4 linked regions of the Arabidopsis thaliana genome follow. The protein of the gene in region 1 interacts with the protein of each later gene in a pairwise test. Each region holds a gene or a part of one and is shown in the gene's direction. Other genes may lie near its edges.

Region 1 (7,614 bases):
AAATATAAGCGGATCATGACCCGTCCACGTCACTCTTGCGAAAATCAGGACATAAACTGTACACGTGGTCAGATCTCCACGTCGAGATATCTACGTGGCGAGTTCTAAGGATATTTTGTCCTGTCTTTTTGTGGGGTCCATTTATGGGCCCAAAGGCCTTCGACACTAACTCAGAAAGTCCAAAATAGTAAGGTAAACATGTGGGCTCCTTTATAAACCAAATTGGCAATTTGCCCATGTTGCTTCCTTCCTACTAAATAGTTAAATTCTATTCAATATATCACCTTTATTTTTGGTTTTTAGATTATTATACGTCAATAAAATCACCTTTTAATGTTTACTATATACAAATTATAATATTTAATCCAACAATATTTTCTAACACCTTTTAGTTTGATAGGTTTTCTCCACAAATTGACTAGAAAAAAACAATAAATAGGCATTTAGTTTTGAAAAGACACTTGGTTTTGTTTTATTCTCCGGCTTTTTATTATTATAAAATAATTTAAAAATTGGTGGATGGGGTGGTGGTAGATCACAAGTCGCCAAAGATGTGAGAATGGGATTGGGCATTATCGAAAAAGTTGACCCGTAATTTCTGATTGATCACACTACTTTTGAGTTTGTTTATAAAAAAAAATATAGTGGAGAGTCTGGAGACCACTGATAATAAATTGATTTTTACTAGTTCCTGTAAAAACTTGTGACTTGTGAGCATCATTACGTAGGTAAAAAATATTATTATACACATATTATTTTTATAGTAACATAGGTATATTTGGGAAACCAAGGTCTCCAGGTTGATAGGAGCAATAAAATACTGGTTTCAATTCATACTATTAGAGTTGTCTATGTAGAATCAAATGTCAAGTCAAAGTCGTAAGAGTTATTTATAAATATATATACTATACCTTCATATATAGCTTAATAATATATAGAGAAATAGAAGAGATGGCCACAAAACGCTATGATTAAGGATATGACCATGTAATTATTGATCTGTAGAACAAATTTACAGTCCATTATATTGTTAGATAAATAGATTGATGAATACTTAGTTAGGTTCACGTATTTTATTTAGGTTTGAATCCAAATGATAACATAGTGATAATGTTATCACAAACCATTAATCATATCATGGTACTTAGATTCTCATATTTATTTTTCGAGTAATGTAGATTTATTATCATACGACATACAATACGCAATACTGTAGGTCAATGGAATCAAATCGTTTTTTTTAAGATATAAAAATAATTTATTTATTTTTTACCAAAACAAATGAGGCACAATTTTAAGATTTAATATAGAAAAAATAGAAAAGAATATCAGGGGCGTTTTCATCTATCCACTTTATCAGAAGATCATTGCCAAATATTTTAACTAAAGCAATTTAATTTACTCTAATAATGTGCAACTCATCGTTACGTATTTCTTCTTGTACAAAGCTAACATGCGGGGCATGTTAGATTCCGTGCGACAAACTAAAAAGTATGATTTGATTGATAATTTGATATAAAGAGCTCGATTAGACTTGTTGATTGTTTTCTTATCTAAGGATTTTATGCATCCATATATTCATTATCAACTATGAACTATCAATGAATAATATTTCCAAAGTATGATATTTAGTAAATTAAATTCTGAATTCCTGATAGAAGGGGGAAAGTCTTCACCCGATTGATGTTCGAGTTTTTGGAGAAAATATAATCAAACTTAGCTGAGTTAGAAACTCGTTATAATACATGTTCTTTACTTGGTTTAAAAAAAGCCACGAATTGATAAATCAATACTTTTTAACTAACGTACATAAAATTAATGAGAACTGAGAGTTCAAGACTAGCTAGATTTTTTTTTTCATTTTATATACAGCGAACTCATTGCTTACACTTTCAAAACTATAAAAACAAAATTTAAAGGTGCTGTAGAGAATAGAATCGCTATGTAAGTATAAACTTTAAGGATGGCATTAATATCTTATATACATCTGGCTCGTGGTATTTTGATTGATGAGAAAAGAAAGCAAAAAAAACAAAAGAACATAAATATAGAAGTTAAATTAGCATACTGATTGATGGGTACGGTATCCCTAAATCATCACAATTTTTTGCCCATATTATTTATTGTTAAAGAGGGTATGATATTTAGTCTCACGACCTTTACTTTTTGTTTGATGTTTTTTTTTCTAGATATAAAGAGCCAGCATTTTATTCACCAGTTGTTGGATTTCCCTAAAAGAGATACCCTTTCGTGATCGCATGAGAGCAGACTGGGGAGATACATATATGGAGTAGGGGCGTAGGCTGAAGAAGCAATAGCTAGCCACAATAAAAAGAAGAACAATAACAGCTACAAGATCATCAAGGGATCAATTATGAACCGAAACCAAATTGATATTCTTTAGTGCCTCCGAACCTCACATATCTACTGCATCCTTACGAGATATTTTGGTCGTTGGGAAAAAAAAAAAATATATATATGTTTTGATCAGTTTACGTGTTTGTCGGAACAATTTAGAACTGCTTTTATTCCATGTTTGGTAAATATATAAACTCTTATGGATACCAAGAACTTAACTTAGTTTTCTCTAATGAGTTCTCTAACATTGAATTCCACGCGACAGTAACTGGACGTCTGAATTCATTAATACATATATAATCTTTAATTAATGTGAGAGAAATGTGTTCATGATCTAGACGAGTAGCGACAGCGTCATAAGAACTTAGGTACAGTCACATATTTATAGACTTGGATGACGTGTAGTTCTCTCTCTTTATGGCTTAAAATTAAATTATATATCACATGAAACACCTCTCACTTTTCTGTTTTGGGGGCAAATAAAACATATCTCACTTATTTTCGAAGTATCTTGATAGTTCCACACATTCCGTTTTCGATCGATAGAAAAAAATTGGACCAGTTTATGATTAAAATACCGCACACAAAAGACTTCACGTACGTTTTTGCTTTTAAGCATTAGAAATACGGGCAAAAGACGCGAAAGTAAGTTAGATAGATTCGGGAGGAGTACTGTGATTGGATAAGGTATTGACCAAGTACCGATGATCCGACCGCCTCCACGTGGTCACACAGCTTGGCTTTCACTTTCATGCTCTGACCTTTTGACCGCACGTGACTTTTGTCTGTGCACGTGCGGACCAAGCTAACGTGTCCGGTTCAAGTACATTGCACCGAGCCCTGACTCGCCAGGTTACGCCGATGAAAACGACGGTTCCTGGGTCCCACATGCCATGAGGATGGACGGTTCCGATCCACTTCCTACTTTCCTACTGAGATTGGTCCCACCATGGTTCAGGCCACATGCGTCCACGTTGAGGGAGCTTAGGTGTTACTATATGGGTGCAGTTAAAAATTAAGACAACCAGTCACGGTCCGATATGAGGTCATGCATTAATGGGTCGGATCGAGTTTAGTCAGTTCAATAAATTAAGATGAATAAGTCAATAATTATTTGAATGGGTTGATGCAATTGGTAAGTGTTTTCAGGATTATCGTTTGTTTCCCAAACAATTTTTGTAAATTAAAAGTTTGATATCATTTGTATGAAGATGATATATCAAAAAAAAATTTTACTAATACATTACTCATTCTAAATCAATAAATTATCAGTGTCTAGTTGTCTTTTTCTGGTATATTTTTTTGTCCATGTTAGAAAAAGCGTAGTTCTAATTAGTGATTCACCAAATTCGACATAAGGCAACAAAGTGGAGTACTTATCAATAATTTTTGAAAATATAAAGTAGTAGTATCAACTAATTTGACATTTTGATAATTATCAGCTAGTCTTATCACATTAATGGATCATTAACTTTCTCCAAACTTATCATCAAAAAGGGTCCACTCCGTTTTACGATATTTAAAGGAGTATACATGGGTAGATCTCACTATCTCAGTATAGAACAAAGGACCATTACCTAGATTGATTGTTCTACGTTATGCGCCTTATGCCCTCTTGACAATAAAAGTGAATATAAAGTACTTTAGTAGAACATTGATTCTTTGATATATAATTAGCTCGGGTTTAGCAAGATAATTTAGTAGCAACCAAAAAAAAAAAAAAACACATCACAAGCAGAATTAATCAATTGTTGTTCTGCAGCGCTTAAAAGTGACTAATTCTCTTCTTCTTTTTCTATAGTAAAGATGGTTCGTATCCGTTTGTTTATTATAGAACGTGGGTTCTTCTTAGAATATTGTATTCGCAAGCCATATACTATATATCTATTTTAAATTATTATACATTATATTTTTACAAAATTAGTTGACAAAACTAATAATAATACTATACATGTAAATTTTTTTTCTTTTCTTCTTCTATATAACTCACGTTCTGCATCCAGTTTGAATATGAATAATAACATATATCAGCAGCACTATGCAAATCACAAGCCTACAAATATCTAGTAATAATGCAAGTTTATACTAAGTTTTACAATAAAAAGATGCGTAAGTAAATTAAAATTCTAAATAAAATGACCTATAGTAGTATTTTCTCAAGTAAGAGAAGACTAAATAGTACTATTTCTCATTTTTACTTATACGAAAACCTTTTAATTAAGTTACTAAAACCATAAATAAGTTAGTAACATGATAATAACATTTATCAAATAACTTTTGTTTAAACATAACCTCCACGCGCCTTAAAGGGAATGTAGGATTCGTTTTAATCCTTGTGTACCCAACTTCCACTTGACATTTTTTTTTTTTTTTTTTTTTTGTTAAATGATACGTTTTCTTTAGCTCGTATATAATAGTATCTGATAAACAAATTGACCAAATGTTATCTCTTCTGTTAATCTTATCTCATGCTTTCAAATATAAGAATTCCTTCTCTAAATTTCTTTTGTATTATCCGATTGGAGCCAAACAAAAACTGCGACGAACCCCTAGTTTTCTTTGGTAGATCTTATGTAAGGATAACCACTTACACACATAAATTTTTTTGTCGGCATTTGTGTATATGTAATAAATAGTATTAATTTACTTAAAAAAGAACATATTATTCAAATAATAATTATTATATTAATGATATAATAAAGGGGACTGTTTCTCCGCTAAATTCTCGGTGTATGTCTTTGCTTTTACTTTCCTCGTTCAATGAGAGGACCAAAAATTTATTGCAGAGTCGCACATGAATCTCAAGCTTCTCTCTCCTTTTTTTCCCATAGCACATCAGAATCGCTAAATACGACTCCTATGCAAAGAAGAAGCTACTTCTTTCTCTTGCCCTAATTAATCTACCTAACTAGGGTTTCCTCTTACCTTTCATGAGAGAGATCATTTAACATAAGTCACCTTTTTTATATCTTTTGCTTCGTCTTTAATTTAGTTCTGTTCTTGGTCTGTTTCTATATTTTGTCGGCTTGCGTAACCGATCACACCTTAATGCTTTAGCTATTGTTTCCTCAAAATCATGAGTTTTGACTTCTCGATCTGAGTTTTCTTTTTCTCTCTTTACGCTCTTCTTCACCTAGCTACCAATATATGAACGAGCAGGATCAAGAATCGAGAAATTGATTTGAGCTGGCGAATAAGCAGTGGTGGGATAGGGAATTAGTAGATGCGGCGGCGATGGAAGGCGGTTACGAGCAAGGCGGTGGAGCTTCTAGATACTTCCATAACCTCTTTAGACCGGAGATTCACCACCAACAGCTTCAACCGCAGGGCGGGATCAATCTTATCGACCAGCATCATCATCAGCACCAGCAACATCAACAACAACAACAACCGTCGGATGATTCAAGAGAATCTGACCATTCAAACAAAGATCATCATCAACAGGGTCGACCCGATTCAGACCCGAATACATCAAGCTCAGCACCGGGAAAACGTCCACGTGGACGTCCACCAGGATCTAAGAACAAAGCCAAGCCACCGATCATAGTAACTCGTGATAGCCCCAACGCGCTTAGATCTCACGTTCTTGAAGTATCTCCTGGAGCTGACATAGTTGAGAGTGTTTCCACGTACGCTAGGAGGAGAGGGAGAGGCGTCTCCGTTTTAGGAGGAAACGGCACCGTATCTAACGTCACTCTCCGTCAGCCAGTCACTCCTGGAAATGGCGGTGGTGTGTCCGGAGGAGGAGGAGTTGTGACTTTACATGGAAGGTTTGAGATTCTTTCGCTAACGGGGACTGTTTTGCCACCTCCTGCACCGCCTGGTGCCGGTGGTTTGTCTATATTTTTAGCCGGAGGGCAAGGTCAGGTGGTCGGAGGAAGCGTTGTGGCTCCCCTTATTGCATCAGCTCCGGTTATACTAATGGCGGCTTCGTTCTCAAATGCGGTTTTCGAGAGACTACCGATTGAGGAGGAGGAAGAAGAAGGTGGTGGTGGCGGAGGAGGAGGAGGAGGAGGGCCACCGCAGATGCAACAAGCTCCATCAGCATCTCCGCCGTCTGGAGTGACCGGTCAGGGACAGTTAGGAGGTAATGTGGGTGGTTATGGGTTTTCTGGTGATCCTCATTTGCTTGGATGGGGAGCTGGAACACCTTCAAGACCACCTTTTTAATTGAATTTTAATGTCCGGAAATTTATGTGTTTTTATCATCTTGTGGAGTCGTCTTTCCTTTGGGATATTTGGTGTTTAATGTTTAGTTGATATGCATATTTTGGTTTCTCGTGTTTATTTCTTTTCTTCTCATATCTTCGGTAGATGTTACATGTTAGAGAAATGCATGTGTCTCGTTATGTTAGAAAATTCCTTTCCATATATGGCTTTCTTTTATTCATAGCTAGGGTTTCGTGTTGTACCCTATAACTATTATTATAATTAGCTCGATTTGATAGATATATAGGTCTAGACTATTCAATAATGAGTTCGTTTGTTCTTTTAAGAATTTTGAGCTTCACGGCGTATTCTTGATGAAATATTATGTGGGCACATCTCAGGCGCTCATTTGAATATTTTTACAATACGTCAATACGTTACCTTAATCATAGTATAATATAGTTCTTTCAACTTTTTAACAACCTCAATGTAGTATTCATTATAAGGTTAGAAAATTATTATACATATTGATCAATATATACGTTTTGTGCATCTAAATTCATTATTCGTACCATTTGAGTACTTGTAGCGTCTTTTAGCCGAGTATACCTTTTAAGATCACAACTTCTGTGTCATATCTATCTATCTATACGGTGTTATTGTGTTAAGAGTACTGTCATATATACCCATCTATATATAAGGTGTTAAGAATATGCTTACATATTGATCAAAACGTGCATCGTTCTAAATTTTGTAGTTAACCACTTGCCTGATTAGAACGTCTTTTTAGCCGTTTGTACTTACAGTTGAAAATTCCATTGATTGGTGTAATTGGCTATTTAATTACGACAGGGCCGTCTAAGCGATCTCGAGTCTTACCATCTAGGAAAACAACATGGGCAATTTTTAAACTATTTAGCGTTCATACAGTTTCTAGTGTTTTAAAAATACTACATGTATACCTAGTGGCCATGTTATGACCTTTTTCATTCGATCACTACAGTTACTTAATTACATGCATAAAATATGCATTAATGCTTCAGTTAATTAACCGTCGATCCTGTAAAATAGTTGTATCCAACATTATTCAAAGACAGGTTGGCAACA
Region 2 (7,693 bases), on another chromosome or scaffold:
TTTTTTCAGGATATATTATCTGACGCAATTATTTGATGATCTATCTGTGATTTTTTCTTTCTTTCTAAAATCTATTATATGTTATGCCTGTATATGTTTTATATATACACATATCCTACTTTATGTATGTGTGCAAATGCAATTGGAAGGATTTATCATATACGATGAATGTATCGCATGGGTGGTTAGTATGCATTAATATGGACTGTTCTTAAGATTTGTGAATAAAGAAAAAAACAATGACATCTTCTTCTTCCTTTTTTTGTGTTATAAACGAAATGATTTTATTTTAATTGTATTGTTTTTGAATAGGAATGTGTAAAATTACAAGAAAATAATAATTCAAAAACTAAATATTGATGTGCATGGCAACTTGAGAAGTATTTGAGGAAACTTTAATGGCTAAAACAAGTTGGCTCTTGATTTCACATTATGCCAAAAACAAAGCTGGTTCGTCCATATATGATAATATGAGAGAAATTTATGTTTGAAATTTTAATTGAAATTTTAAACCCGATAGGATAAATATGTTTCTGATTCAATGAACGGATCTAGCCGCGTTGACGGGCCAGAGCCTGAGGCTTAGAATGTTGGCCCATTATTCGATGAGTTTATAACGGGCCGGGAAAACATTATCTCAGACTGTTACTTGTCTGTTTTGCGTAACACATATGAGAGAAACTCAGACTTGATTAACATCTATTTCCGAATAAAACTTGATTTGTTGAATCCAAACAAAGCCCTTCATCAAAATCCAGACAAAGACTAGAGGGAAACAAAACAGCAGATGTTATTGAATTGAGTGGTTCTGCTCTAAGATAGCATCATCTTTTACTCGAGAGATCACATGATCTAAAGGAAATGAAAACCACGTTTAGATTGTTGCAATCAGTATTCACGACTATGAAGCTGTCTTCAACTTAGTCGATTGAGCAGCTGCAGCTTTTGTGTAGATAGGGTGAAGAACATGACCACCTGTTGGATCAACATGAATCCATTTGCGTCCTGTAATCTTGCTTTTCTCGAACCTGACTCGTCCTTCCTTCAATGCAAACAGAGTATGGTCCTTACCAATCCCCACATAGTCTCCAGGATGAAACCGAGTTCCCCGTTGACGAACTATGATGTTTCCTGGTATCACACTCTGCAAAATCACACACACACACAGGCAAACATTATTTTCTTCACACAGACCAAGACTGATTTGATTATCAAAATCTTATCTCGCTTGTTATTTATTTTCTTACCTCTCCTCCGAATTTCTTAACACCGAGAAACTTGGGATTAGAGTCACGACCGTTCTTTGTAGAACCAGCAGTTTTCTTAGTAGCCCAACGCTTGAAGACCAAACTCAAGCCACTTGAAGAACCATCTTTAACATCCCCAAAACAAGAACAACAGCAACAATTACACAAATGAGTTAACTAGTTAAGATCATCAAAATATAGATTTTGAAAAGCGCAAATCTATACCGGAAATGCTACTGCCACTATAAGCAGGAACCTCAGTGATCAGTTCCCTCAAACTAACTCTTCTGCAAATGGATGCTGCTGAGTTTAAGAAATTCATTTTTTTCAGGAATCTGCAAGCAACAAAGAGCAATTCAAACATTAATCATTCAAGTAGAATCAAATCAATACTATACAAACCATTTCATCAAATCTTCTCGAGCAAATGGAGTTTTTTCATTCACACTCGAAACTCCACCATTGTCACAAACGTATTAACCTATTGACCTCAAAACCAATTACATTTCCGATCCGATTCCAACTCTCGAATGATACGGTAATAAGAAAGGAGGATACTTACCGGAAAATTTCGATTTCGATTAATTGCGAACGATGACAAGCGTGGCCGGAGATGACGACGGCGAGTAAAATGGCGTCGGCGACGGAAGCGCGATTAGGATGGAAGGGCCTAACTCCAAAACCCCTATTTGTCAAGTGTGAACTATACACGCCCGGAGGGTCCTCATGTTTTCATTTGTTTACATAACGACCCCTACATTTTCATTTGGATCAAAATTGATATATTACTAAAGAGAAATTTGCATAGTCTTTTGTGATTTTTTAGACAGTCAATTTTATTTAATTTTTGAAAATTTTGACACAAAAAAAAGTTGATAGTTCGGTTTTTGGAAAAGAAACCTAATCTAACCAAACTAGAAAAATGTCTTGTATATAACTTATTAGGTTTGTGCAAGTGTGAACAAGATGACATCATGAATGATGGATGATCATTATCTTTTATTTCTTGTAACATTAATAACAAAATGTTATACATTTTCTATACGCATGTGTTTGAAGAACAACTGGACACGATCTACAAGTTTATTTTGTTAGACAGTAATAATCAATATCCATGTGATGGATCACATGCTTTCAAATCTTTTTATTTGAAATCGCATTTCAATGGTCCTACGGTCCGTGCTTTGCCGTGCCGTACCCCGACCCTACAAGTTTCTTATACTAACCCCTTGTAATAAATTTTGTGTCACACCAATTATTTTATAAATCTAACTACAAAGATTCCTATAAATTAGTACCATACAGTTTCAACTAGATTAGGGGAATCAGTAGCTACAAATGTCTTCTACATTAGTAGGTTTGTCTAGCCTGGTTTAGCAAATTCAGACTTATTATAAATAAAATTAAGTTGTAGTCTCTCATAAACCGAATTTAAAACTTAAACTTAAACAAGACATCATCCTTGGCTTGAATCAAACATAATCTGAAGATAATGAAATGATCCAACTGGATTATACACCAACACTCTTATATATAATCTTCACCTTGGAGTTAAGCTTATTCATTGTCATTTCTTACAAGTTATCATGATCTTCTTATACATTTGTATATATCCTATACATAATATAATAACGAAGGTAAATCTTGTTTTCCGCCAATTGATCTGGCTAAATATATTTTCTCATTTACTTTTTTTTTTTTTTTTGTGACGTCTCATTACATACATATTATTGTTATTTTTGGGTATAAAACAACTTTAATCGTTACTAGAAAAGATAACATTTCTTATGAAAACCAAAAAATATCCCAATGTTCCCTCCTTTTCTCCGAGCAGATCGACTCAAAACAATAATTGGGTGAGCATGTGAAACTGGCTAAAACTGCACATGCCTTCTCTTTTTCTTTTCTTTTTTTCAACCTTTTATTTAGTTTTCTTTTACTTAAAACAACAACTTTATATGATCTGATATTCAAGTTGGGATGTGAATGCGCATTTATGTTTGGGTGTGCGCATATATACGTTTTTAGTTTGTTGCATATATATGTGTGTGTTTCAAGTTGCTTATTCTTTCGTTAATCGTGATTTTTCTTTCATTTCCCAACTTGAGATGCTAGTGGTGAGTTACCTGTGTTTTAAGGTTCACAGCACTTTTGTAATATCTCAAATCAGGTGTAACAAAAATGTTGTATATATATCTAGAATTCTAGATCGTAACTCTAAAACAGTATTCTTCTGTTAGCTACTAGTATTTCATTTGCCCTCGAATTATAACAGTGGATCTAGATCTGGTTTTTCTCTGGAAACATATCAGAAGAATTAGAGTAATTAATGAATTTATCTTGACTATCTAAAGAAATTATCTTGACTATATGTTCATGATCCGTCAACAAATAATGGTATTTGAATGAATAATAGTATAGTAAGAGTGTGATTATAATTTACAGTTGGGACCGTTGGTCAGATCTAACTCCCGTCTCCTTCTTCAATGCACCGTCCCACCTTTTTTTGTTCATTGTTAAAATACAATTTCAATTATCTTTTATAAACTCTGATAATATATTTGTGGTTAAAAAAACCCGTTCAATATTGTCTTCCCACCAAGCAAGCACCCAATTTAAAGCCACAAAATAAACCCTTTTTCATTTTCCTTCTATAAAATCGTAGTTAGATGGATATTGAGTTTTAGTTTGGCATTTCTTAGTTAAAATATTCACCCTAAAATGAATCTAAAAATGTACAAAATCACAGGAAAATAAAACTAAGCAGAAATGTCCTAAGAAAACTAAAGTTTTTAAAAAATAATCTTCAAAGAGATACTCCAACTGGTGTTATAAGCAAAACTTGATTTATCAAAAACAGGTTCATAGTATTTTATATTTAGTACTATAAGCTTTCCTTAAACCATGTGCAAAACCATCTACCGCAGTCTAATTACCAATAGCAAGTAATAAAATGGGACTAACATTGGAGGCATACGTGGAATAATATAATTGGAGGAATACAGTAATAATGATATGTGTTGCCACAGGGAATAATTGATACGAGCAAATGTGTGTATATATAGCTTATATGCAACATCATTGGGTCCTCAACCAAAAACTCCTCTCTCAGTACACTTCTTTTCATACCTCAAGAGACTAAAACTAGTTTGAGGAGATTTAGAGGAGTGTTTGGTTCTTTGGATAACAATATCCCAAACTGAAAATGGCTAAGTCATATGGAGCTATCTTCCTCTTGACCCTCATTGTCCTCTTCATGCTTCAAACCATGGTAACACCTCTATTATTTTTTTCTTCTTTCAATGTTTGAAAATATTGAAGATAATATATTTGATTGTTTTCCTTATTGACGAACGATATGAGACAAATGTGGGTTCTATTATTGTACTTTTAGTTGGAATATATTTAATTTAGCCTTTTTAATGAAATTAATTTTACTTGTTTTTCCTCTCTCTTTTTTTCGTTTTTTAGGTTATGGCCTCAAGTGGATCTAATGTGAAGTGGAGCCAGGTCAGTTTTATTATTGAATCGACTAGTAATTACCTTTTAAACTATATTTTATACCTATTGTTATCTCGTAACTTAACGAAAAGTGATTAATTAGTTACCTTTTTTGGTTAATTTTCAGAAACGTTATGGACCAGGAAGCCTGAAACGTACCCGTAAGTTTTTTCTTCACAGCTATTCTTAAACAATTTTTTTTTAATCTCATAATCGACGAAAAATAAACAATTCAAGAAATCTTTTATTGTGTTATAATAAAAAAAAATAAGCATTTCAGTTGCAGAAAATAAGTTGAAAGTGAAGTGTTAAGTGGACTGTTTGGTCAGATCCGTAGACTCAAAATATATTAGATATTGACGAAATTGCCCCTTAATATGGTCATACAGTCAAAGCAACCCACTATCTTGAGACCCACAAAACAGTAAAAAAAAAAGCTAATGAATTTCCACTAGATTCTGTTGTTTTTATTAGTAATAAAAAATTTTTGAGTGTTAACATTTTGATATTGTTTGTATTTGAAACAACCAGAATGCCCATCGGAATGTGATAGGAGGTGTAAAAAGACACAGTACCACAAGGCTTGCATTACGTTCTGCAACAAATGCTGCAGGAAGTGTCTCTGTGTGCCTCCGGGTTACTATGGGAACAAACAAGTTTGCTCCTGCTACAACAACTGGAAAACTCAAGAGGGTGGACCAAAATGCCCTTGAAAAAATCTCCCTTCGTTCCCTTTTTATAATAAAAATTTTCAACTATAACTAAATTTCCTTTGATCAATGTTTTATCTACTTTATTCCTAATGTTGTAATGTTATGTCACTCCTTTTCGGATTTTGTTCTAAATCCTAAAAAAAATGAGAGTGGCCCTATGAATGATATTTTTCATGAATACTTGTGTTTCTAAAGATATTTTCCCATTCATCCACCAAAAAAAAAGATATTTTCCATTTCGAAAATAGTAATACTATAAAGGGTAAGGCAAACCAAATAATACAATTTAAAAAATTCCTGCGAAAGAAGTATGCATATGTAGAAAAGAGTGACATTGGGTCTCTCGGCCCAGTACTAAAAAGCCCATTATTGATTTTTCCAAGCTTTTTACAAAATCACGTGTTCTAACGCGATTGCTTTTTGCCGCAATCTTCTTTTATACAAGACTTGGGCTTTGGGCAGTTGGAAATAAATAACGACAACGATATTTTACAATCGGTGCAATGATATGAACCACAAACTTATAAACGTTTTACCCGTTCATTACCCTACGTATCAATAAATACTCTTAATAATGCCTTATATATTGACATTAATCGACAAGAAATATGAGGTTTGGAGTACAACTATAGTTATTAGCATTAACAACAAAGCTCAATTTAGCTCTCTTTGTTAGACATCTCACATGCATTTTGAATGGTGATCTTGAAGAAGATACTTTTTTTTTTTATCAACATGTGCATGCTATTTTTTCACAAGCACAACATGGGGAAATGGCCGGCAATGAGTATTCTTCTTTTCTAAAGAACTCATTTTGTAACCTATAAAAGTTTTTGGTTTCGATTTCTGAATGAAAACATATTGGATAACTGTAAAAAATTTGCAGTATGGTTTTAATAGTAACGAAAATATATAGATATATATGTCGATATTTTCATTATTGTTAGAACTACTCGGCACCTTGTAGAACATAACTGTAAACTAGCGTCAAGATATTGATTTACGTCAGATCAAGGCTATTCATACTTATCTACTCTTTAGGTCTGGGGATTCACTTGTCAACTATTTTTAACAAACGACAACAAAAAAATATGTGACGATTTTTCAAGTGCTCCAGTCTCGTCCAACAGATTATTGACATGATATACTACTTTGGACCATGTATTTTTATGAAAATTTGATCCCTCTTCAGTCTTCACCGAAAGAGGATTTGGTACTTGCATTCTCTCTATCACCTAAGTTAAACGCCCTAACATTAAAGTGGAAAACTTCGTGGAGTTTTATTTTCTCTCTTCCTACCAATTTTCTTATACAACTAACATTAAATTCTAGAACCACACAAATCGCAAATTATGGTAGATTTGTGTGTAAGTGGTTATAATTTTTTTCTATATAAAGAGTTGCACTTAAATTTCAATTAGTTTCTAAAAACCCCATCCACGAATATTTAATTGGTCAATAAACATTAAATAGAATTCCACTGCCACGCTAATATCGTGTAGATATCATATGTGCATGGATACTGCATAAAAATCAGCTCTAATAATTGATGTAATTTAAAAACATTGACCCTAGTAAATGTATTAACACTATATATATTGCCTTTTGAGGGTTTCTTTATTGTTTACTTCCAAGTTCCAACTTCTCTCTATCTATTTCCTTCGTCTCTCGATCTCTCCGTCTCTCTCTCTTTGTCTCTTCGATATCCAAAGAGCAGAGTCAAAGACTAAACAAGTATGAGCGAGGACAAAGATTACATGTCGGAGCCATTTATCGTTAAGAAGATTGATGATGAAGAATCATTGCTTGATGATTATAATCCACAGGGCAATACTTCTTTCTCCAAGACTTGTTTCCATGGCATTAACGCCTTATCAGGTTTAATTTCCTCTTCTTCTTCTTTTTTTTTTTTTCTATTTTCATTTTCGTGATTGATTTTTTCTTTTTGATTTATTCACCACTTCTTCTTATCTCCAAACTCCATAACTCACGGGGAAAGATCCAACTCTTAGCATGTCCACATATATGGATAGGATATATCTTAATTTTCAAAATAATCTAGAAAAAACTATAATTAGCTTTATTGTACTTAATTTCTATAGATGCATGTTTTTAACTCAAGCTTTTGACTTTATCTTGTATCATCTAGATTGGTGTGTATTTCAATCCTACATTTTGTTTCTTTACCTCCTAGTCTTGCCTCAGTTTTTTTAGTTATTTAATTTTTCTGTT
Region 3 (7,507 bases), on another chromosome or scaffold:
ATTCCTCGAAAACCGATTCTTCACACGGGATAACCAACGGTCCCTGGTTAGCAAAACCGAACTCCTCTTCAGCCTTAACCAAGAGATTCATAAGAATGGGGTGGTTCAGATACGTCGCAAGCACCACGAATCTCCTGCAACTTCTCCCAACGTAAACCGCCACGTGTCCTGACGGTACATCTGACGGCACAGATCGTCTGACAGACGACATTCGCGCCTTGTTACGCCATTGCCGAAGCATTTGCCTTAGCTTCACAATGTGTCGGATCTTGCTACATTTTCCGATACCTCCAGCCATTTTTTCCGATTACAGAAGCTTTAACGTGTTGGTATTTCGTTAGACGAGAAAGTGTGAGAAACAGAGAAAATGTGAGGTAGAGAGTTTTTGGGAGGGGGGAGGTATATATAGTAAAGAGAGTAACATAATGCCCTTAGGATTTTGTGATAATTACGAGATTACCACATTGGTTCTTACTTTTGGCTTCTTGCGACGGATGAAACAGGAATAGTGTGTGATTATGAATTAGATTAATTTTATTCGGGAGATTAGTTTTAATTATTATGTTAACAGAGATATTAGATACGATTCTTAGATGAGGAAACATTAAAGATCTTGTGTGTTTTTTTCTTCTTGATGCATTGGATATGTCTGATTTATGATGGATTCGACATGTGAAATTTAGTGGTTGATTATTGGTTAATATAAAATCGTAGGTAGGTTTTTTATAATATGCTAATGAGAGACTATCATGGAAAAACATGATAAACTGGCAGTCATTAGAGACAAAAGAATTTGCTTAGAAATAATTGAATGAAATTGTCAATGATTAGTAATGTAATAAACTTATAATGGTTAGAAAAAAGTTGTCACGTATTGAAAAAAGGAGAAGTAATTTGTAGTATGTGGTAGGAAAATAATAGCATGTGCTAATGTAAACTAAAGAGTGTTGGACAAAAAGAGCAGTCATTGGAAATACTTTAACACCACATTGGGATTTAGAGACACATAAAAGAGGCATTCCTCTCTTTATTATTCATTATATGATATCAAAGTCTTATATCTTTAAATTATGTGTAGCTATTTCTCGTACCAAAATATGCAAGTTTCTATTCCTGCAGATCTCATATTGAGCAGCAAAACATTGGGTTTATAGGAGGCGACGTCAAATTTAAAAGCCCTAAACGATTCCATAATTGGGAACTTCATATAAGCCGGACATATCACGTCGAACAAAAGATCGCAAACAAATATTTGTATATACAATTTAATTTAAAGATATAAATGTTTAATGTTTCAACTTTCAAGATGTAAAAAAGTGTTATCAGTTAGTTCGTGGTCGTACATGCGAAGGAGTGGCTAGCTACAACCGCCGCTCTTGGGTCAAAGTTTTCAATTCTTCAAACTAAACACAAAAAAAAAATGTTCGAGAAAAAGTTAATATACAAATTTTGAATGAATACTAAATTATATCATTATAAGATTAGTATAATTTCAGCGCACGGAAGTGTGAGGTTTCTGGTTAGTTAATAAAATAAATGAAACCCACCACATGCATGCGTAGCAGGAATTGGAGGAAATGTACTTAAACAAATGTAATTTTAATTTTATACTATATAGTCAAAACATAATCGTCTGTTTTAAAGATTTTGTCACCAGAGGCAAATCAGTTTAATTTATTTTTTACAAATAAGTAAGTTTATTGCTATCAAAACAAAAGTATATTATAAGAGACGAACAATAATGTAATGCGGCGTACCAAAACACTAGTTTTTGTAGTTTACGAATGTGTCCACGCCGCCATGTGCGCTAACGTTTCATCTCCAACAAAGAACCCAAAATATTTCTCGTTTAATGTTTGGAGAAAATATAAACTTGATGATTGTCTCTCAATAGACTTGAATCTGATCGTCTCTCAAATTATACTTAACTCGTACATTTTTATGGGATAAAATATGGCCAATTACATAGAACCCACAATATTCCAGTAACTAAAAAAAACAATTATCCACTCTCACCTTAAAATAAAGTGTGGGAGTGATCCAGACAAATATCAAAAACAATGGTTGATCAATAATCCAAAGTTCCAAACCTCGACCACTTATCCATCCTACATATCACATAGTCTGCATGTGACGTGATTTGGTTATAATATTTGCTTAATATCAATTTACATCGTTTTTGTATATTGCAGTCAAGTTAATATATCAAAGGAAATATGAATTAAATGCAAAGGTAATAAAATATAGTATGTATTAAAACAAATAAACTTGGGTCAATCCAAGTGCATGTGGAAGCTTGGATACATTCCCCATGGCCATGGGTTACTTACTAACACTTACTTGTTGAGTTCTAAGGATCTTCTCGTTTGATTTTCTCTTCTTAAGCATATATATTTTCATTAATGCTGCTATGCAGCAATGAGTTTACAGTATAATTGTTATGTCCTGTGAATTCTTTTAAGTATATATTTTGGTAAACTAATATAAAAAGTACTAGAGATCGAATCCATTTAATGAATCGGCATCGGGCAGTCTGTTTCCGCCCTCTTGCACCATGTTCATACGTAGTGACTGAAACTGTGAGGTTTAATTGGGATCAATCACTAACTCTTGTTCTTACAAAATACTCAACTATCTCATCGATTACTATCTTTTGTGTAATGCCTTTTTCTGAACCAACAATATCCATCTAGTAAATATACACATAATATTAACTAGACAGATTATTATAGGTCTGTACTAGAATTTGCTCACCCCCTTAGGAAAAGAGAAAAACTTTGTTACCTAATTACATTTCATCAGAGAGATTAAATTACTTTATGTCGTTCTTAATTCTTATTTTAAAACACGTAAAACTTAAAACTGTATTTTGTGCATTCAAATTTAGGCTTCAATGGCCATAAGCAGAAGTGATAAACTTGAATAATGTTGGGTATTAAATATATATAGCTTTTTCCGTACAACTTTTGTATAGTACGTGAATTCGTTAACGTTCCACACTTACACTCCAATTCTTTTTAAAAGAAACCTTTTGTAAAGATCTATGATACATGTGGAGCAGGAAAACATATGTTCTGTTAAAAACTTGCATTTTCACGTTATAAAAGCCAATTAAGAATAGATTTAACTCAACACGATATCATGCATGAGCAACTTTTTGGTCGATCGGATTTTAGTTAAGAGTTGGGCTGGAATGTTTTCATGTTCTAATACCAAACCGAATTTTAATTATGATGAGGTTATAAACTTATAATTCAACCATGTCCATGTCATATATGTGATGGTTTTAACCCAACCAACTTGAAATCTCGGATCGGAGCGGCCGTACCAAATTTGGTTCGGATCGATATTCAGAACACAGCTGACGAACTCTCAATGCCTTATCAGTTGGGCCTGAACCCAACGCAGTACTCCTACCAAGGGATACGACTCGGCCCATCATCGCTAATTACCAAACATGTAGATCAAATCGTCATTACCTTTTTTCTAACCCAACTAAAATCGTGATTACTTCAAACGACAAACGTAGAAAAGAAACACAAAACTAGCCACGTCATCGATCCTCCCAAGATTAAACCAATCAGAAGCGAGGACGCAGATCGCCAACGTCAGTATTCGCTCTCATAAGTCGAATCTTGACCGTCGAAAATGTGAAGATTGGACCACTTCTGTATTTCCTAATATTAACCGACTAAAACATTCACCTATATAATCATAATCACCTTTTACTATTCCCACACAATCATCAAGAAAACAAAACTCGCTTCCTGATAATCAAATCAAAAGCTTCTCTATCAAGCTTATCGAAAAGTCACATCTTTTGGAAGAAACAATGGCTCGTACCAAGCAAACCGCTAGGAAATCCACCGGAGGTAAAGCTCCCAGGAAGCAGCTTGCCACCAAGGTTTGTCCTTCTATCTTTCATTCATACCGAAATAGTAGATCTAGGGTTCAAATTTGGGTTGAATAACGAGTTTTTGTGGACGAAATCTGAAAAATATGATCTAGGTTTTCTATATTGTGTTGAATTTTTAGTTTATGATCTAATTTAGTATGAATCTTGCGGTTTTGATTTTGTTTATGATGAAATTGGTTGGAAGGGGATCTAGGGTTTATCTAATTTGAGTATTCGATTGCGTCTCTAACGAATTCTTCAATACAGGCGGCGAGGAAATCAGCACCAACCACCGGAGGAGTCAAGAAGCCTCACCGTTACCGTCCAGGAACCGTCGCTCTTCGTGAGATTCGTAAGTACCAGAAGAGTACTGAATTGTTGATCCGCAAGCTTCCCTTCCAGCGTCTCGTTCGGGAAATAGCTCAGGACTTCAAGGTAAAATTTATACTCATTAGCGGCGGATTAAAACTTATCAATTAGGTTATGTTATGGAATTAGGTATACTAATTAGGTTAAATTTTGCAGACGGATCTGAGGTTTCAGAGTCACGCGGTGTTAGCTCTTCAAGAGGCGGCTGAGGCATACCTAGTTGGACTTTTCGAGGATACTAATCTCTGCGCTATTCACGCCAAGAGGGTTACGATCATGCCTAAGGACATTCAATTGGCTAGAAGAATTCGTGGAGAACGTGCTTAAGCTTTTATTTACCTAATTCAAGTTTAGATTTTTACGATGATGTATTAGTATTCTGGATTCTTGTTTCCTATCGCTCTTTTATTTGCTTACCAAGTACATGGTGTTAATTGTTGAACTTACAGCTCTTTTAAGCAAACAGTTATGAAATCTTTCCTTTCCGTTATTGGTTCTTGTTGATTTCTTTGCAAAATTCATTCACAAGTTGCACATAACCCAGAAAAAACTGACAATTTTGATACGAAGATGCATATGAATTTGATTGGATAGTGTGTATGAACGATTGGATAAAACCAACTTGCGATAAAGTTTAAATGTTGCCGCAAAATTCAGAATTATGCTCTTCTCTTTTTTTGAATTTAAAAGGCTTGTCGATGTCAATATGAGCTTCGTAACTTTGGTCTGAAAAACAGATAAGAAAGAGACATAAAAAAGCGTTTTTCTGTTTTAACAAAACAAATTACTTGGAGACAATATGGGCTACATTTTGTTTAAAATTTATTTATATGGGCCAGTTATTGGGCCTTTTAAAATTGTAGATTACATTTTCGTTAACTTGGTCATGTTCGAAAAACTCGGAGTCCTCACGTCAGCGCCGGCGAAATTCCGGTACTGCTCCGTCTTCTACGTGTATTGAAGGTGGGCGTTTCTTTAATAATGCCTGGTTTCTGTTCACAAGTCCAATGTATTTCTTAATTTCATTGAAATTTTACTGTGCCAATCATTGCGAATTCAAGTTGATTGTTGGTTCAGCTTTTTAAGTGTTTGCCGTAGAATTAATCGGATTATCAAAATGCTTGAATCTCCGAGCAAATGAAAAATGCTTTACTTAACTTTAGCTTTAAATATTCGTATCGTTTAGCAATGGTGTCAATTGCAAAATAAGAGAACACTGTAAAATTTCTCATTGCAATGAAAAGATGTCTTTTTTCTTATGGTCATTGCGTTGTAGGAGAAAACAGTGCATCATAAAGGATACGTTTTCACTTGCATTGATTAATTCTATTAATCTGCTGACATGTGGATGTAATTTGGTAGCAACCTGATACTGATCCATCAATATCGTTTTTTTCTTGCTGTGTGTTTCAGGAAAGTGTGACTGAGATTGAAGAGTATTGATGGGGTCAGAATTGTGGTATACATACAAGTAGATGAAAAATGGACCCAAGAGCTAATCAATGAGGTTTGGGTTCATTAGATTTTTATTCCACATGTGTTATTGTCTGCCTTGGTGTTTCTTCTTTGTTTTATTCATTAAGGTGTGTTTTCATTCCTTTTTTGGTTGCTTGTGGCCAATTTTGTATCTGAAAACAAACATGATGATCTGTCTTGTGCCTTATATGTTTACTGGGAAGAAAGTGTACATACTTCTACTTTGATTCTAGGTGAGGAGTTTGATAATCTGTATATTCAGATTCATATGCCAACATTTGGTATTGTCCAACGTTTGGTGTTGAGTGTAACTGTGTCAAATATTTATATTTCTTTATCAATCTATGAGTTATTTTGGCTTCTATGTTGCCCTTTAGTGATAGAGCACAATGGTAAATTCAGGTTGGCCATAATATCTTTGCCTGCTAGTATTCATAAACCTGTTCACAATCATGTGTTTTCTTAAATATTTGAAACACTGAAACTTCGTTCTCTGTGAAAGCTCATGAAACAGTTTTGATGTTTGTCATCTCAAGATGTGTAGAGTTGGAGTCAAGTCCATTAGAATTATGTGAAGTCCTTTTAAATTTGTGTCTTAGTCTTATAAGTCTTGACTCTTGTCCCACCTTTTGTGCATCATACGCACATGGTTGTTTGTACATTCTATTTATGTATATTTAGGTAGTGCATATAGATTCATTCTAAAGGCCAAAGACTAGTCACTCTTTGTCTAGTGTACACAAATTTCGGGTCTCACAAAGATTTCATTGGATTCTTGATTATTTCATGATTTGTTATTAGCTGCATTATTAGGATCATATGATGTATTAATTATGTTTTTTCTTCTGGACTCTTTGTTTCTTGTCATCATCACAACTAACAAGTTCTTATTTTATATTTGTTTTGCTTTCTTTGTGTGTCTTCTTAACTACTTTTCAATAAAAGAATGTTTTTCTTACTTTTAGGTTTCGCAACTCTGACTTTACAATAAGTCTTTTTTCTGGTTTCCATGACAACAAATCTTCCCATATATCTCAAGATAATCTCTTTCTTTCATACACTAAAAAGTTTCACTTCGTTTCTAGGAACTTCACTATCTCTTTTATGGTTGTTGGGTGTATACAGAAATCCATTGATGTCTACCTTAAAACCTCAAACTTGTAGAAGTGTGAAAGTTGTACATCATAAATCTATGGTAGAAAATATACTCACAAGATTACTAACCCTTTAATAATACTGGTGTAGACATCAATGACAACAAAAAACCAGCACAAAGAAAAGAAAGCTTGAGGAAAGGCTTGGCTCGAGGAAAACAATTTCAGAGCAAAACCCAAAAAAATGAAAAGAAAAGACTCTCAAAGTTTAAGGGACAAGTCAAGGTTCTTCTGCTTCTCTTCTTCAGCTGGCTTCAACAATTCCTCGCCTCTCTGCCATAGTTCAGAAGTTGGAAACTCTACTGGAATCCTTCCTACATCGAACCTACCGATGTTTTCACATGTGGAAGTCAACGGTGGAGCAATCATCATCTGATGATGATTATAATGATTCTCTGTTGAAGTTAGTTTTGCTATTGCTGGTTGCTGAACTAGTGGTATCCTTGACCAGTTGATCTGACCATACTCACCACCGTAAACGTTATATGAACTTGGCTTATGACTCATTGAGTGTGCCTGAATACCCAAGGTTCTGTTGCTGTACTGTCCATGGAACGGGACCGGAGCAAAACCATATGGATGCCCGAAAGCTGCGGCAGATGCCATCCGTTGC
Region 4 (8,101 bases), on another chromosome or scaffold:
AATTTTGGCAAAAAAAAAATGTAATTTAAAAAATATGCAATTCTTTGAGTTTGAGAGAAAATGTGTTTTTGCGGAAAATAGAAAATTATATTATATATTTAGGTTCCATACACTGTCTAATTAATCATTGTCTTATTTGAGTTTGGTCATATTTGGATACGGTGCTATTGAGTTTGGTCATATTTGGATACGGTGCTATTGAGTTTGTATCATTAGTTTTGTTCATATTTGGACTTCACCCATTTAGATCTGAACAGCTCAATTAACATCTTTAGATAGATGTGCTCAACAGAAAAATTGAGATTATGCAATTTAGTGTTTAGGGTTTAGGGGTTAGGGGTTAGAGAAAAATTATTTCCAATTCAAATATCATTTGCGGGGAAATCTCAGACTATTTTCATGCAAAATATATAGAGGCTAATTTGAAGAGGGTGCTTGTAACAAGACCCAGAGAAGGATTTTAGCAACTCATGGGCAATTAATGTTGTCCGTATGTACAAATAAAAACCCAATGGACCGACTTCAAGGTCGCAGCATGCCAGCATCCAAACTCGTTCAGGTTATCTAGCTTTACATTTGAAGCAAAGACGATCACTTGCGTTACGATTAGTTAGAATATGGTTTTGGTACCATAAAAACAAGATTTATATATAGACCATAAGGGTTTTTACTTTTTTTTTCTTTTAAGCTTCGACGCCAATATATACATATGTGTAGAGACCAAAATTTGGTCGATGAATATACATCAACGACGACAAGATATAATATATGATAATCTTCAATTTTTGAATTTTTCTAGTCTTTGTTAACGTCATGCATGGATTTTTATAGGAAAATAACATCTATATTGACAAAAATTATTTTAAGAAACAGGAATTCATAGAAAACTCTTCTTTTTAAAACATCTGACTTTATTATATCCTAAAGGGACAAGTAGAAAACTCTTTATTTGTTATATGTCACTATTCTGTTACAAATTTTTATTGTTTCAAATAAAAATTAATTGCAGAAAAAATTCCTATGGACCAACAACGATGGTTAGTCTTAGTCAGCATGAGTTCTGGCTATTGATCAGTGATCACCACCAATCAACGTGTCGCCATTAGTCATTAATCTGTTATGAAAGTAAACGTATAGAATTAATCTTTATCATCACAACATCATTCTATATAGCAAACCTGGTGCGGGTAGAACCCGATCTTTATCCGAAATATATATCTTTACCAAAAAATCGAACTGAAAAATTCGACATCATTCTTCCATTTCCAGATTACTAAAATTCGAACAAAACAAACCGAACCAGTCAAAGAAACAAAGCTTAATTATTAAGAAAACCCACTATACTATTTTGTTATTTGTTTGTTTGTTAAAGACTATACTATCTATATGTTCCGGTCAATACACTAATCTCTCACGATGGATCGGTCCGTGGACTTTTGTTGAATAGTGATGTCCGTGGACTTTTGTTGAATAGTGATTAGTGAATGTTCATGTTTTGGATATTTTAACACTTTTGTGAGACGGTCAGTGAACTTTTGTTGAATAGTGGATGTTCATGTTTTGGATATTTTAACACTTTTTCTTTTCCTAAAGTATTTTAACACTTATTCGATTAACCAGTCCAAAGTCGGTGCATTGTAGATGAAAATATCATGCACTAATACGAGTTTCCTTAATAAAGAATTAGAGTTGAATCAAAGTTTAACGCCTGCTAAAACAATATTCTATAATCACATTCATTATAAATGATTACACACTATTAATTAGGAATTAGTTTGATAGAAACGAACAAAAGAGAAAAAACAAACCCAACATGATCTGCAATCGTCAACGCGCGAAGCCAGCTCATGACCAATCACATAACGCGGTTTTCAGTTTTGAATTGGATTACAACGTCGTCGTTTTGTCAAATTACCTCAACACTCTAGCCCCTTTCGCTGACTTCAACATCACCATTTGACTTCTCAATCCCTCTATAAGTTACTCACGTTCTCGTATCACTTTCCATGCATCTAAAACAAACTCTATCTACTAACTCGAAACACACTTGCGGTCTTATCTAAAACACAAACCAACAAAAAGAAAAAATGGGCTTGGTCCGATCATTTGCTTTGGTCATAGTCTTCCTTAGTTGTCTCATCGCCGTTTATGGCCAAGGTACGAGGATCGGGTTCTACTCGACTACGTGCCCTAATGCCGAGACAATTGTTCGGACCACTGTGGCATCTCACTTTGGTTCAGATCCAAAGGTTGCACCCGGGTTACTGAGAATGCACAACCATGATTGCTTTGTCCAAGGTTGTGATGGTTCGGTGCTTTTATCGGGACCTAACTCTGAAAGAACCGCTGGCGCAAACGTTAACCTCCATGGTTTTGAGGTCATTGACGATGCCAAGAGGCAGCTCGAGGCAGCATGTCCTGGTGTTGTCTCTTGTGCTGATATCTTGGCCTTAGCGGCTCGTGATTCGGTTTCTCTCGTAAGTTTATATATATACTAATTATACAACAATCAATATATCATATATAAGCAAAGAACTATGTCTTGATTGTTTTAAATGCCAATATTTTGTGTTTGTATTTAGATATGAGTAAGTAAAGAGGATTAACAAAGGCAACACAATTTTTTGTTTTATATTAACTAATTTTACAAGGTATATATACGCCAAAATACAAAGATTACGTTTCTTCATTTCTTTGGTTTTGTGTTTACAAACTAAACGTTGATACTTAAGAACTTACATAACATATATTTGAAAAAAATATAGATTTTATAATATTATATTTTCAAACAATTATGTGTAACATTTATGTTTGTTTTACTTGGTTTCTTCTATAATATTAACTTAGTATTGGTTACAAAGAAAGTAAAAACAAAAATAATGTACAAGCGGACAGAGAGTAATTAACGTTTGTTTGGCTTTAATTTGCATGGGTGTATGTAGACAAACGGACAAAGTTGGCAAGTTCCAACAGGACGTAGAGATGGAAGAGTTTCCTTGGCATCGAACGTTAACAATCTTCCTTCTCCAAGTGACTCTCTAGCCATTCAACAAAGGAAATTCTCCGCTTTTCGCCTCAACACTCGCGATCTCGTCACTCTTGTTGGTATGTAACCTATATATCACCGTTTAGAAATCAGAATAGATCCAATACATTAGTTTGGATGGAAACTCCTCGTACGTGTTTTTTTCTTTCATATTTTGAATATTCACTTTAATAGTTAGTGTTGTGCACTGCATGGTTTATTGTCACTCGTACTTAATTTGCATAAGAATAAGGATAACTCTAGGATCAGGTTCATGTTTAAACCAAACATTTTCGTATTTTTCAAAGAAAATTAAGTTTTATTTCGGTGTACATATTACATATATATATTTTTCAATTATATTGTTAATCAAACTGAAGATGAACCTATATGAATTAATAGGAGGAGGACACACGATCGGAACAGCTGCATGTGGGTTTATCACGAACAGGATATTCAACTCGAGCGGAAACACAGCAGATCCAACAATGGACCAAACATTTGTACCACAACTTCAAAGACTTTGTCCCCAAAACGGCGACGGATCAGCACGTGTTGATCTTGACACCGGAAGTGGAAACACTTTTGACACATCTTATTTCATCAATCTCAGCCGTAACAGAGGAATTCTTCAATCCGATCACGTTCTTTGGACTAGTCCGGCCACAAGATCCATAGTGCAAGAGTTTATGGCACCTAGAGGCAACTTCAATGTCCAGTTCGCAAGGTCAATGGTTAAAATGAGTAATATTGGTGTGAAGACGGGGACAAATGGAGAAATTCGTAGGGTTTGCTCTGCGGTTAATTAATCAGTGATTAAGTTTTTATGGCTAAAAAAAAGTGTTTATGGCTAACTCTTGTTCAAGGGCATTTTTTTTATAGTTTGATTTAAATTTAAACCCAATAGAATAGAAAGGATATGAGAGAAACCCAAAAGTGGGTTGCTGATAAATGTATTTCATTTCTTTCGGTTTGACTTGGTGGAATAAATAAAGTTCAATTTCGTTACATGAATAGAATTGGTGTTTTATTAATCGCCAACCTTCCGTGGAATACTAATTATCACCTTGATCCAATTGATCATTCGAATCAAAGAAGCTTCAACAATGTGAAAGTATAACTGAGAGAAGAGTGTCTTAATCAGTGAGTTCAACCTACCAGTTTGATAAGCCTACATTTCACCTATCGGCCCGAAACACCCTAACACGGAGTACTAGGTCGAGATGTTTCCGTCAGCCTTCCTCAAAAGACTGTTCTCTTGATACTGATTTATACATACATAAATCATTGTAACACTACACTAATCCAATACCAGGTATGGCCGAGCACGATCGATCTTCCCTAGACTGAACAAGATCAACCCTCACTTGTTTGAGCATGACCAACCATTCTTCACCAAATTCAAATTGTATTTAATTTAAACGGTTCGGTATCACAAACCAACCATTGGAATGTAAACACCACCGTCGAATACAAAGATTGCCGAGTCGCAACCCTTAGAGTTTCGGCTAGCCTGATCAAAGCGTGGATGAGCCTCTGCTCGGTGTCCTGAAAATCCTGCATGAGAACCAGGTTTGTCTCTTTCTCTCTTCTTCTTACGGTCTTTCTTTCACTGGATAGAGTTTTTGAATTCGTATGTGAGAACTAAAAGGCATATAGAAAACCTTATCAGGCGTGACCATCTCACACTATTGGGCTTGTTTTGTGTGGGAGACTAATGTGCCGCGCTGTATTCATATGATCCACAAAATTAAGGTTTATATTTGGTTCATGAAGTCTTAGTTACATATATCAGTCTTCCTAACTTAGTCTTGGATCCTATTTCTAGCTTCTTGGTTCTAGCTTCTTGGTTTAGACTCGCCAATACTATTGAGGACTGGGACCATGGTGCAACAAGACTCCTGATATTTTCTTAAACAAAGTTTCCATCTAATTCCAATTCATGCAAAAAACATTCTGATATTACACGAAATGATCATCATAATTATATAAGGATAGAAAAGTAAATCATAACACAAAACGATAGATAGAAAACGAAACAGAGTAGCAACAGTTACATGGTGACCCAATACCACTTAAAGGTCTTATTATGAACCAGTACGAAGACTCTGTAGTAATAATACAGAGATTCAAACAAACACAACACCAACGTCGGAAGATATTATGTAGAAAGGTATGTGACTTAGCTCTTTATTTAGTAGATTTTTGAGGCTAAGCAAACACACATTCTCATTACACTCTCTAGCACAGAGAGGGTTTAGTTTACTCATCGTCTTCGTCACGACGCTTCTGGTGGTGATGCTTGTGACGGTGCTTCTTCTTCTCCTCATCCTCATCAGAGTCATTGCCACCCTGCAAATTGTGTATTGGAAATAATTAGGACTACGTCAAAAGTGTAACCTATGTAATGACCCATACAATGACATCAGGTTAATGATGCCGCTGCTATGAACTATGACCATAAGAAAGGAAAGAGAGACCTTCAGATATCCTCAAGATGGCCAAATTCAATAAAATAATGTTGACATGTAAGTATGTAACTAGACAACATTGTTCTTCTTAATGGATGTTCACAGATGACTAAATCATTAATCGACAAGAACCACCACTAAAGATATAACTTTAGTTCAATAACGAGTTACTCTACACTATGATCAACAAAGGGTTTTCAGTGCTAACCAATCAAACTTAATTTCCACACAACCTAGATGCAAGCTATGCATAATTCAACCAAACGAAATGTTGTCCATATTCAATCGAATACTACACCACCAAAGTCAAATGGAATCCTAGAACTAGCTTTCTATTCATGTAAACTGTGAAACAGATACATTTCGTTGACATGTATGTATCCAAACAAAGACTTTAGACAGGTTCTTTATAATGATGTTTATAGATGGCTAAATCATGAATGATCATAAAACAATCACTAAAGATATAAACTTTGGATTACTCTACACTCTACAATATGATCACCAAAGGATTCAACAAAATATTAATTTCTTCAACTTACATATTTCTTGCGGCCATAGCTCCCTTCCTCATCATCACCAGAACCAGAACGGTTCCTACGCTGCTCATCATCATCATCGTCATTGCCACGGCCATAGCTAGGCTGCTTCCTGTAACTCCCCTCTTCCTGTTCCTCAGACCTCCCATAACTAGGCTTCCTGTAACTTCCCTCCTCCTGTTCCTCAGATCTTCCATAGCTAGGCTTAATGTAACTCTCCACCTGATCATCAGACCTCCCATAACTAGGTTTCCTGTAACTTCCTTCCTCTTGTTCCTCAGATCTTCCATAGCTAGGCTTCCTATAACCTTCCTCTTGTTCCTCCTCAGATCTTCCATAGCTAGGCTTTCTATATCCTTCTTCCTGCTCCTCAGATCTTCCATAACTTGGCTTCCTGTAACCTTCCTCTTGTTCTTCAGATCTTCCATAGCTAGGCTTCCTATAACCTTCTTCTTGTTCCTCAGACCTTCCATAGCTAGGCTTACGCTCATACTCAGACTCCGATCTCCCACCATAACCAGATCCAAGCCCTGATTCAGGTCTCCTACCATACTCAACCTCAGTTCTTCCACCACCACCAGATCCATACTCCGATTCAGTCTCCGTCCTTCCACCATAACCAGATCCATAACTCTGCTCAGGTCTCCGACCATACTCCACCTCCGTTTGTCCACCATAGCCAGATCCGTACTCAGATTCCGGTTTCCTCCCATAACCGGATTCAGATCCATAACCAGGATTTGGTCTTTCACCTTGAACATGACCACCACCACCTGAATCGGGTCGAAATGCGGGTCGTGGCTTGGGTCGAGAATAGCTACTGTACTCTGTGTTAAGAGCTTCATCACCGTAAGCAGAAGGCTCATGGATCTGAGTAAATTCAGGTCTCTCGTATTCGAAATCATCATCGACACCAGATGAGAGAGGATAACAAGTCTCATCGGAAGGTGGAATCGGACGGCCGTAGATCACCGTGATGTCGTAACCACCACTGTACGGCGTTGGATCAAACTCATCGAAATCGTCGACGTCGTTGTCATCTCTGGTATAGTACGGCATCGTTTAAGAAGAAGCTTCTCTGTGTTTGTTTTACTCTTTTGGTTTCTTGGATCTGATCAAAATGACAGAAATGAGAATTTATACGCGGGGGAAGAAGAAGACGAAGAGTTTAAAAACGTTGCGTTTTGAATGAATAATTGTGGATCCCATCTTCCTGCTGTTTACATGGAGACCACTACGATTCGGGCAAGCTATGCCACGTGGGTTTATCTTAATTGGTAATAACCAATTTGATTGTACCAATTGCCGACTGATTTAACCGGGAACCAAACCATGGGAGAAAGTATGATTTAATAATACATTAAGGGACTATATTACAAAAACGAATATAATTTATGAATTATTGTGTCTTGAATTTTTGGTTTATGATTTTGGAAAAGAAAGAAAATGTGCCTCATATTTTTTGGTTTATGGTTTTTAAATTTAGGTTTATTTTGTAGATTTTAATTTCCTTTTGATATGAGGCTTTTTAAGGTTTTGTGTATATCTTATATTTTTAAGGTCCTTTATTTCCAATTTTAATTATTTATAACCATTGTTTACCTTTACAAAAAGAAATTAATATATTAAAAATAAGGATAAAATTTATGAATTAATGCAATTGAATTAGTGTATCTTGATTTTTTTTGTTTTATGGTTTTTACATTTAGGTTTATTTTGTAGATTTTAATTTCCTTTTGAATTTTTATTTTTAAGCCTTGTAGATCTTTATATTTTAATTATTTATAAACTATAACCATTATTTACCTTTAGAAAAAAAAATCTTATAAGCTATGATTTATGTCTATAAACAAATCTTTGGACAATGAATGACTACAACTAATTTTTTTTTTTTTTTTTTTGACACCACAACTAATTATGTCCACAATATTTAGATATGTAATCTATATATAACCCTAATTTCTCATCTATCTTCTTCACTGCATGCTTCTACCATTTCCGGCGACCATGATCTCCGAAGTTGAACAACCAAAAGAGAAGAGAAGTTTGAGTTCTGAGCCACCGTC

Evidence for each region.
Region 2: the proteins of ESC (region 1) and GASA4 interact in a two-hybrid assay, tested with the Arabidopsis thaliana proteins (one large-scale study listed by BioGRID).
Region 3: the proteins of ESC (region 1) and AT5G10980 interact in a two-hybrid assay, tested with the Arabidopsis thaliana proteins (one large-scale study listed by BioGRID).
Region 4: the proteins of ESC (region 1) and AT5G39580 interact in a two-hybrid assay, tested with the Arabidopsis thaliana proteins (one large-scale study listed by BioGRID).

Annotation. Positions count from the first base shown.
Region 1 is NC_003070.9:7,267,432-7,275,045, forward strand, and holds ESC (Putative AT-hook DNA-binding family protein), read left to right. Parts: upstream 1-5,124; 5' UTR 5,125-5,592; coding exon 5,593-6,528; 3' UTR 6,529-6,641; downstream 6,642-7,614.
Region 2 is NC_003076.8:4,940,565-4,948,257, forward strand, and holds GASA4 (GAST1 protein homolog 4), read left to right. Parts: upstream 1-4,251; 5' UTR 4,252-4,452; coding exon 4,453-4,518; exon of another isoform or gene 4,519-4,718; coding exon 4,719-4,757; intron 4,758-4,875; coding exon 4,876-4,909; intron 4,910-5,279; coding exon 5,280-5,461; 3' UTR 5,462-5,735; downstream 5,736-7,693. Other genes in the region: AT5G15220 (Ribosomal protein L27 family protein), read right to left, coding at 902-1,144, 1,248-1,372, 1,473-1,569; AT5G15240 (Transmembrane amino acid transporter family protein), read left to right, coding at 7,198-7,339. UniProt on the Arabidopsis thaliana protein: Gibberellin-regulated protein involved in the regulation of floral meristem and floral organ identity, and promotion of seed size and weight.
Region 3 is NC_003076.8:3,469,675-3,477,181, reverse strand, and holds AT5G10980 (Histone superfamily protein), read left to right. Parts: upstream 1-3,611; 5' UTR 3,612-3,832; coding exon 3,833-3,904; intron 3,905-4,162; coding exon 4,163-4,330; intron 4,331-4,420; coding exon 4,421-4,591; 3' UTR 4,592-4,777; downstream 4,778-7,507. Other genes in the region: AT5G10990 (SAUR-like auxin-responsive protein family), read right to left, coding at 1-298; AT5G10970 (C2H2 and C2HC zinc fingers superfamily protein), read right to left, coding at 7,096-7,507. UniProt on the Arabidopsis thaliana protein: Variant histone H3 which replaces conventional H3 in a wide range of nucleosomes in active genes. Constitutes the predominant form of histone H3 in non-dividing cells and is incorporated into chromatin independently of DNA synthesis.
Region 4 is NC_003076.8:15,843,014-15,851,114, reverse strand, and holds AT5G39580 (Peroxidase superfamily protein), read left to right. Parts: upstream 1-1,973; 5' UTR 1,974-2,087; coding exon 2,088-2,477; intron 2,478-2,942; coding exon 2,943-3,105; coding exon of another isoform or gene 3,106-3,109; intron 3,110-3,427; coding exon 3,428-3,834; 3' UTR 3,835-4,050; downstream 4,051-8,101. Other genes in the region: AT5G39570 (uncharacterized protein), read right to left, coding at 5,155-5,377, 6,039-6,976; AT5G39560 (Galactose oxidase/kelch repeat superfamily protein), read left to right, coding at 8,019-8,101.